2 linked regions of the Arabidopsis thaliana genome follow. The protein of the gene in region 1 purifies or fractionates together with the protein of each later gene. This does not show direct contact. Each region holds a gene or a part of one and is shown in the gene's direction. Other genes may lie near its edges.

Region 1 (4,810 bases):
TCCCATCTGTTTGTAGGATGTTTGTGGATTCACTAGATGCACAGATATATGAAGAGCATCATCGAACAAACCGTTGCTATCTGAGTTTAACCAAAGTAAGAAACTCATTCCTTCATCTGCGAAAGTTCATGTGTTTTTAGATCTAAATCAGATCAGTCCACTTGGGTTTGGATTTATGTGTTCAATTTCTCACAGGACAAGCATTGCTATTCGCGGGTACTAGAGCTTCTGGTGAACGTATGGGCTTACCACAGTGCAAGACGCATTGTCTACATAGATCCTGAGACTGGTTTGATGCAAGAGCAACACAAACAGAAGAACCGGCGAGGGAAAATGTGGGTGAAGTGGTTCGATTACACAACTCTGAAAACAATGGACGAAGATCTAGCTGAAGAAGCCGACTCAGACCGTCGTGTGGGTCACTGGCTATGGCCATGGACTGGCGAGATCGTGTGGCGCGGTACATTAGAGAAAGAGAAGCAAAAGAAGAATTTAGAGAAAGAGGAGAAGAAGAAGAAGAGTCGAGATAAGCTGAGTAGAATGAGAAGTAGAAGTGGTCGTCAGAAAGTGATCGGAAAATATGTAAAACCACCGCCTGAGAACGAAACTGTTACCGGAAATTCCACTTTGTTAAATGTAGTAGACGCATAAAAGAAAACAAATTAAAATTGCTTCTTTTTTTGTTAGGTCACTAATTTGTTTCATTCATTGTTTTTGGAAAGATTACTGTATAAAAGGTCTCAAGTCTCATTCATTCACTCTCCCTCTCTCTTCTCACCTCTCTTCGATTTAACCGACGGCTTAAATTCTCCGGCGGTGGAGCTTCACTGTGAACAACAAAGAAAGAGAGAAGATGGAGGAGACGCAAGTTCTTGAGATCAATCTCATCTCTGCGCAAGGACTTAAAGAACCGACGGGAAAGCTCCGGCGATTGCAGACTTACGCATCCGTCTGGGTTGATTCTTCCAGCAAACTCCGGACTCGAATTGATCGGATCGGCTCTGAGAATCCGATCTGGAACGACAAATTCGTTTTCCAGGTATCGCCGGAGTTTCTATCTAGCGAAACTTCTGGTGTTTCAATCGAGATCTACGCCGTTGGTTACTTGCGAGATCATCTGATCGGAACTGTTCGCTTCCTCGTGAGTAACTTCCTCCCAACCGCCGCCGTGAAAGTTCCATCTCTCGTCGCGCTTCAGATCCGTCGTCCTTCTGGAAAGTTTCACGGCGTTCTTAACATCGCGGCTATGGTGATGGATGCTTCTGAACTTCCAGCTGATTTCTTCAAGTCGGTTCAAGAGATCCGTCGGAGTCGGAAAATGAGAAAGTCTAGATCTGCGGTTAGTTCGTCGGAGAACGGTTCCGCTGACGACGGTGAGAGTTCGAAAGAGAATTCGGTTTGCGGATCGGTTAATTTCTCCGACGACGGTACTGACTCGACGGCGTCTTCTCCGATGCCGTCTCCTCTCAGAGACTGGAACGCTGTTCGAAATTTGGCGGGAAAGAATCACGTGCGATCGTCATCGGACGGCGGAGGATTGATGTGCTGTTTCTTGATGAAATCGTCGGGCATGTTACCACCAAGAAGAAAAATGACGGACGGCTGAGATCTGTTGTCTTGAATTTCCAACGGTTCAGATGTTCCTTTGGTTTTCTAAACCATCGATCTTCGTCACGTGCATCTCTGTCAACGGTTCAGGTCTCCTTATCCCTTACGTCGTCGTTTAGGCAGTTTTGGCGGTTATGAGTGTTAGTTAACAAACAGTTTGGAATTTCTTTAGTTCTAGTTGCTCAAAACATTATATTCAATAATTGTTGTTTCGTTTTTGAACAATTAAAAAATCTTTTTGATATGAAATAGTAATAATTCGTAGATCACAGAAAAAAAGTGTAGTAAAAATTATGTAAAAAGTGAAAAAAAAAAAAACGCGGGAAGTCGTTTATGAAGTTTTGAGGAGATAATTGTTAGTTTAACGGCTGGATTAGTTAAAACCACTAATTACGTCCTACCAGAAATAACAAAATCATCATCTTTTATAAAAAAATCAATCACTCTCTCTTGTCTTCTTCATCTTCTCTGTTTGTGCCTTCCTCTTTATCAGAAATTGCAGCTTGTACGAAAACAGGTAAATCTTCATATACGTAGAGCAATCAAATTTTTAGTTTTAAGGTTTTTTATTAAGTTCATAAATTTATGATTTTGCTATGATCTATTTAGGGTTTAAATTATGGCAAAGTTTACGAGATTGATAACAGCCATGGAGCTGAGAGCCACGGTGGAGAATCGAATTCGATACTCTACAAAACACATTAAACACTTGCCACCTGGCTCAATCACTGAGTTTGATTGGAAGGATTACTGTCCCGTTGGTTTCGGGTACGTACGTAATAACATAGTTTCATGTTTTAAGGTAAAAAAAAGAAGAGAATTGGTTTTTGTAATGTTTTTTTTGTTGTTGTTTGTAGACTTATTCAAGAACTTGAGGGTATAGATCATGATGATTACTTGCTATCCATTTGCACTGATGAGACTCTCAAGAAGATTTCTTCTGGGAAAATTGGAAATGTCTTTCATATTTCCAATGATAACCGTTTTCTCATCAAGATTCTTCGAAAATCCGAAATTAAGGTACCCCAAAATCATCTTAACACAATCTACTTTTAATTTTTTCAAGTGTGTATATATGTTCCATATTGAGTCTTTCATTGAAAACAATCTTGTGAAGGTGACACTAGAGATGCTTCCACGTTACTACAGACATATTAATTATCACAGATCATCACTATTCACAAGGATTTTTGGTGCTCATTCTGTGAAGCCTCTTGGAGGTGTTAAGGTGACAAGGATTATATATATATACCACTCCATTATTAGAGTTTGATCAGCCACTAATTAGTTACTTTTTTGGGGATACAGACATATTTTGCTGTGATGTCAAACATGCTACATTCAACGATCTTTGTGAACAAGCTCTATGATCTTAAAGGTTCTCCGAAAGGTCGATCTAACAAGAAAATTGAAGTGAGAAACACCACTGTTTTGAAGGACATCGATTTCGATTTCTGTTTCTACGTTGATCCTTTGGCGAGACAACGCATCATCAAGTACTATCCCACCCCCACCCCTCTTTCTTTCTACCATCTTGATTCTAGTTACTCAACAATTTATTAAACACAAAAGGGGTCATCTCATTACAGGCAAACAAAGCTAGATTGCGAGCTTTTGGAAGAAGAAGGTATAATGGATTATAGCTTATTGGTTGGTTTACAATCTAAAGGCTCATGTCAAGGTAATGTTTCTTCTCTCTTCTTAGGAGTGCAACTATTTGCATATCGACTTTGAACTTTTCTGATCATAATAATAAATCACTCTTAACAGGTTCACTTGATGGATTGAACCCGGTTTACGGTAGCTTCGCACCTCCAAGTAAAAAATCCTTACCAACATTCTTCATTCTTTTGTTTTATGTTCTTATATACCAAGTCTTCAACATAAATGTCTACCGATTAAATTTTTCAGGCTCGTTCAAAAGCAATAGCACAAAGTCGATGAAGACGGCTTCTAGTTCTCCTGATAGATCTTCTGTAGCAATGTATTCATGCTCTCCCGATAGAGGTAACAATGTAACTTTTTAATCTAATTAATCATAGTACTTAACAAAAATTACAATTTTTATAAACTTATTGTCTTACTAACAGATTCAGTCGAAAACGAAATGTCAATGACTATACAATCAGTGACAAGCAATAGCGCAAGCTCAGAAACAAATATATTAGCCACAACACTCAGTGACCTCTTTCACAATAGGTAAAGCATTATCCTACTCCTATATAACAACATTGCTAGAAATTTCACATCAAAAAAAATATATATATATATCTAACTTTTCTTGTTTCAGCTCAAATATCAATTTTGGGATGAAGATTCCAGCGAGGGCACGGCGAGTGACGAGAGAAACCGGAGAAGAAGAATGGTACAATGTTGTTTTGTATATAGGGATAGTAGACACATTTCAAGACTATGGTATGAAGAAACGCATAGAACATTGTTACAAATCCATTCAATATAACTCAAACTCAATCTCAACCGTCCATCCTAAGATCTACTCTTCTAGATTCCAAGACTTTGTCTCCAACATCTTCCTACCTCACGACGATGATCTCTCTTCGAAATATTGAGTTGTTTGTTATTTTTGATTTCCAAGTGGAATTATTAGAGTGTTAAGAGGTACACTTCTTACGACCCAAGTTGGTGTTGGTGTTTGTTGTCCAAAAAATCCTCTCTTTTCTGACTTCATTGTTGATCGATCAACAAAATGTAGAGAAAAACATGAACTATTAATACACATATATCAAAAATATAAAATACAGAAAAAGACAAAACCCAAAATAAAAAAAACCCAACATTGTTCTTGGTTCAACACAAAAGAAAAAACCAATCAAACCAAGTCAACCCTTTAATTAAAACTTTCAGTTGGAACATATATATCTCTGTTTACTTTGTTTTGTTAATCACAAAGCAGCATTTAGAACACTTACAGAGATTAGTCTTGTATGTCTACATTGTTACTCTCTTTAGATCTCTTAGAGATTAGGTTTAGCCAGTTCAACGTTTTTCTCCTTAATCTCTAAATAATTCTTCTGTTACAACATTACAACATATTTAATATCTTATTATCCTTAACCTAACAACTTTTATACTAAACAAAACAAAGCCATTTCTATTTGGGCTTTACTTATCTTATGGCCCAATTGACTTTTCTTCTTTCTTCTTTTTCACGACGCTTCTTCTTCCTCCTCGTACAACGGGC
Region 2 (4,396 bases), on another chromosome or scaffold:
CTTGTTCAATGCCGTTGGAAGTTTGGTAAAGTCATATCTTTTTTGAAAAATAATAGTTATTATTTTGTTAAGTCAAATTGGCTAATGGAGAGAATGTGTTACATGTAGTGAATGCAAACGAGTGCTTAATGACAAGAATGCAAGAGATGTCACTAAACTACCATTTTGTGGCTGAGCAAGAATCTGGATCTTCAATACATGCTTTCTTTGGATTCAATGGAACCGCGGGTGTATGGAGAATCGCAGCTTTAAACGAAGCTGGAGGATGGAAAGATCGAACAACCGTAGAAGATATGGATTTAGCAGTAAGAGCTTGTCTTCATGGTTGGAAATTTGTCTATGTCCATGACGTCGAGGTACTACTACTATAACCCTTTTAAACTCAAGCAAAACATAACAAGATTTCATTCAAGACATTATTAAGTAATCTAACATTTCAGGTGAAAAATGAATTGCCAAGTACATTCAAAGCATACAGGTTTCAGCAACATAGATGGTCTTGTGGACCAGCTAATCTATGGAGGAAGATGACAATGGAAATCTTACAGAACAAGAAAGTGTCGGCCTGGAAGAAATTGTATCTCATATACAATTTCTTCTTCATAAGGAAGATTGTAGTACACATCTTCACATTTGTCTTCTACTGTCTGATATTACCAACAACTGTGCTATTCCCTGAGCTCCAAGTTCCTAAATGGGCAACTGTTTATTTTCCTACTACAATCACTATCCTTAACGCAATCGCTACACCTCGGTAACAACATCTCTACTGTTCAAGTAAAACTCTGTTTTCTCATTTCCTAGTATGATAAAAAGTTTGACATATATTGTCTACTGCAGATCACTCCATCTTCTTGTCTTTTGGATCTTATTCGAGAATGTAATGTCGATGCATCGCACAAAAGCGACATTCATCGGGTTACTAGAGGCAGGACGGGTTAACGAATGGGTTGTTACTGAAAAATTAGGTGACACTCTCAAGTCTAAGTTAATAGGTAAAGCTACAACTAAGCTTTATACCAGATTTGGACAAAGGTACTCTTAACTTAAAAACACACACACAATTACAATTTTTAAGCATTTTGAAATGTTGTAACTAATTTTAGTTAACATTTTGCAGACTCAACTGGAGAGAACTCGTTGTTGGATTATATATATTCTTCTGCGGATGTTACGATTTCGCATATGGAGGATCATACTTTTATGTTTATCTGTTTTTACAGTCTTGTGCATTTTTTGTTGCTGGAGTTGGTTATATTGGCACATTTGTTCCAACTGTTTAGATTAGACTTTTGTATTTGAGAGCAAATGTGTTTTTGCTATTTGATTAGACCAAATTAGAGATTGGATCTTGGTTACTTAAACCAAGTTAACTCTTCCAATATTCATACTCAAAATGTAATTTTTTAAATGGTGTTATGATCTTAAAATTTGGTTATCGATCATATTCATACGTAACATTTTATGAATTTGTATTTGCCAATTGTGTTCTAGAAAGAAAATTGAGAGAAACATACAAAAAAAACAAGTCAACGTCAATGATTTAAGATGTTGAAAATGACATGGCGGTTTTGGATTGGTTAGATGCAATCCACGGCCAATGACCCATCACGCATGTAAACCGCGTAAGCACAAGGCCCCTCCACGAAAACATTCGTCGAGGGGTATTCTAGGTATTACCGGTGATAATTTATGTGAATTGACGTTTTTATCCTTTGCCTCTATAAAGATCTTCTTCCGTTTTTGCAATTACGGCGTCGCGCATTTAGCGTTGTTTTGAAGCTCTCTCTTTCAAATTCTGTTCGTCTCTCGCGATCTCTCTCTCTCTCTCAGATAGCTCCGAAACTTTCACGCAGAGGTATTATTGATCTAGATCTGAGCTAAGGCATTCTCAATTTTGATTGTTTCAGTGTGTTCTTAGGTTGGGAATTGAATATTCTTGCTTCGATTTAGGATTTTTCTTATGATGATCCGTTGTATCTTTGGGTAATGCTTTGGATTTCGATGTTTTTGGTTGAAAATTCTGATTTCGATCTGCTGCTGCATCGTTTCAAGTCTGGATCTATGAACATTATCTTCGATTTCACCTTTTTCTCGTTGTAATTGCTTCAATTAGATTCTGAATTCCGCAAGATCTATACGATGAGGTTTTGTAAACGTTGTTGCATCTGTTTCGATCTGCGTTATTCTAATGATTTATAGTCAACATTTGGAGTTCTCGCTGGTGATCTCTCTTTATGTGATATTGATACTCTGTTTCTGTGTGTTAGTTAAGTGAAGCAGGATGGGATTGTCATTCGCCAAGCTTTTTAGCAGGCTTTTTGCCAAGAAGGAGATGAGAATTCTGATGGTTGGTCTTGATGCTGCTGGTAAGACCACCATTTTGTACAAGCTCAAGCTCGGAGAGATTGTAACCACCATTCCCACTATTGGTAAGCTTAAACATCATTTCATAATTCAGTGTTTCAAAAGCTTAGTTCCATCAACTTTGTTCATACCATTCATACAAAATTTTGTCTTCCACCTGCCGTGATGATTAAACTACTACAAACTGTGGACAGGGTTCAATGTGGAGACTGTGGAGTACAAGAACATCAGTTTCACAGTGTGGGATGTCGGCGGTCAGGATAAGGTATAAGATTATCCAACTCTAAAGCATTAAGAATTCTTTTTTTTTTGCATCACTACCTGGGGATCTTTTTCCTACTGTGTCTTGGTATTATTGTTGATGAACATAGAATTACACAAACTCACATGTCGCAAAACCTCCACTTCTTGTTGTCAGATCCGTCCCTTGTGGAGGCATTACTTCCAGAACACCCAAGGTCTTATCTTTGTGGTGGACAGCAATGACAGAGACCGTGTTGTTGAGGCTAGAGATGAATTGCACCGAATGTTGAATGAGGTCTGTATCAAGTGTTATATCTTTGCCTGTTGTATTGAATTCTTCATGTTTAGATGATTCAGTAAACTGTTTGTCGGGGTTTTACAGGACGAGCTGCGTGATGCTGTTCTGCTCGTATTTGCTAACAAGCAGGATCTCCCAAATGCTATGAATGCAGCTGAGATCACGGATAAGCTTGGTCTCCACTCTCTCCGTCAGCGTCACTGGTAAATAAAAACATTATAATCTCCCCTGCTTCCCTCATGTTGATTTGTTCTCCTGCACATAACGTTTCTTATGATATAGTTCCAAAGATTTATCACCTCTCTGATTGATTTTATGTCTACGAACTCTCTCCAGGTACATCCAGAGCACATGTGCCACTTCAGGCGAGGGGCTTTACGAAGGTCTTGACTGGTTGTCCAACAACATTGCCGGCAAGGTAAATTATCACAAACAACAATTTTGATTTGTGGATCAGTATTTTGAAGCAAATCGTGATTCTTGTTTCTGTGTTCTTGTTACTGGTTGTGCAGGCGTAGAGGGAAAGTTCGTGGTGGAGTTGATTTGCTGAGCAAATCTGGATGCAGGGGCAAACATTATCTGAATTTTTTTTTTGGTTTCCGTTTTCGTTATTGTTCTGCTTTTTTTTTTGGGATATGTCGATGGATTTTGTGATTGTACGTAGAACTTAGAAAAAAACTACCTTTTATATAGTTTTGGTAAAACTGTAATCGAAGATTTCACCTACTGCTTTCGTGGTTTTGGTCACATTTTACTTGTGCACTTTGATTCATATGTTGGAATGCGGTTTCGTTGGCACCTGCTACACGAAACTTGATGATTTTGCTAGTATTTGTCATATGAATCAAGTAGAGGAAAGCCATGACCAGTAGGCGAAATGCTAGAGTGTGGCAGAAGAGGAATGAGTAGACAATTTAATCATAAATCCACTTGTTTGAAAAAAAAGTTAACATTCAAAATTCTTTGCTGGCATCCTCTAATCCCTTTAATATTTCCAAATTCTCGCACTTTTTGAACACCACATTCATTTTTGTCAGAATATTGCGTTCTTAATTTGTCTAGAATAAGCACACTAAAACTAATAATTATCTTAACAACCATGGAATAACATAAATTATCTGTTTTTCTTTATAATATTTTTGTAGAATTGTAGGTTAATGAAATGTATAAATTGTGATTCTAAGAGTATATATGAATAGTACAATTGTACGGTTGGAACTATTTTGCGGATTACTGTTCAAAATTAATGTGTTTAAAGGTCACTGATTTACTTTCTTATTCTGCCAGCCATTAAGGGAACGTTAATCATCATTTTGACTAGAGTGATAGTTGCAAGGACGATATTAAATACAGTATTTGATAAGCAATTAAGGAAAATAAAAGAAACAGAAACAGAAACAGAAGATTTGAGTTTATTGAAGAAGGAATTTAGAGTGATTGGAGTTTTAATAAGTTTTGAGATGATTTTGGTGAATTTTGGTGAATTAG

What was found. Proteins that work in one complex are often made in the same cells at the same time.
Region 2: the proteins of PIPK10 (region 1) and ARF1 purify together in Arabidopsis thaliana (affinity purification with mass spectrometry, with the first as the bait; one study listed by BioGRID). This does not show direct contact.

Annotation. Positions count from the first base shown.
Region 1 is NC_003075.7:503,579-508,388, reverse strand, and holds PIPK10 (phosphatidylinositol phosphate kinase 10), read left to right. Parts: upstream 1-1,985; 5' UTR 1,986-2,227; coding exon 2,228-2,376; intron 2,377-2,465; coding exon 2,466-2,628; intron 2,629-2,725; coding exon 2,726-2,836; intron 2,837-2,916; coding exon 2,917-3,104; intron 3,105-3,197; coding exon 3,198-3,289; intron 3,290-3,378; coding exon 3,379-3,426; intron 3,427-3,519; coding exon 3,520-3,615; intron 3,616-3,698; coding exon 3,699-3,807; intron 3,808-3,898; coding exon 3,899-4,178; 3' UTR 4,179-4,254; downstream 4,255-4,810. Other genes in the region: AT4G01210 (glycosyl transferase family 1 protein), read left to right, coding at 17-95, 196-651; AT4G01200 (Calcium-dependent lipid-binding (CaLB domain) family protein), read left to right, coding at 854-1,606.
Region 2 is NC_003070.9:8,334,948-8,339,343, forward strand, and holds ARF1 (ADP-ribosylation factor 1), read left to right. Parts: upstream 1-1,645; 5' UTR 1,646-1,858; intron 1,859-2,270; 5' UTR 2,271-2,284; coding exon 2,285-2,432; intron 2,433-2,561; coding exon 2,562-2,632; intron 2,633-2,785; coding exon 2,786-2,905; intron 2,906-2,992; coding exon 2,993-3,111; intron 3,112-3,244; coding exon 3,245-3,326; intron 3,327-3,420; coding exon 3,421-3,426; 3' UTR 3,427-3,880; downstream 3,881-4,396. Other genes in the region: CSLA03 (cellulose synthase-like A3), read left to right, coding at 1-25, 109-356, 441-754, 841-1,035, 1,121-1,283. UniProt on the Arabidopsis thaliana protein: GTP-binding protein involved in protein trafficking; may modulate vesicle budding and uncoating within the Golgi apparatus.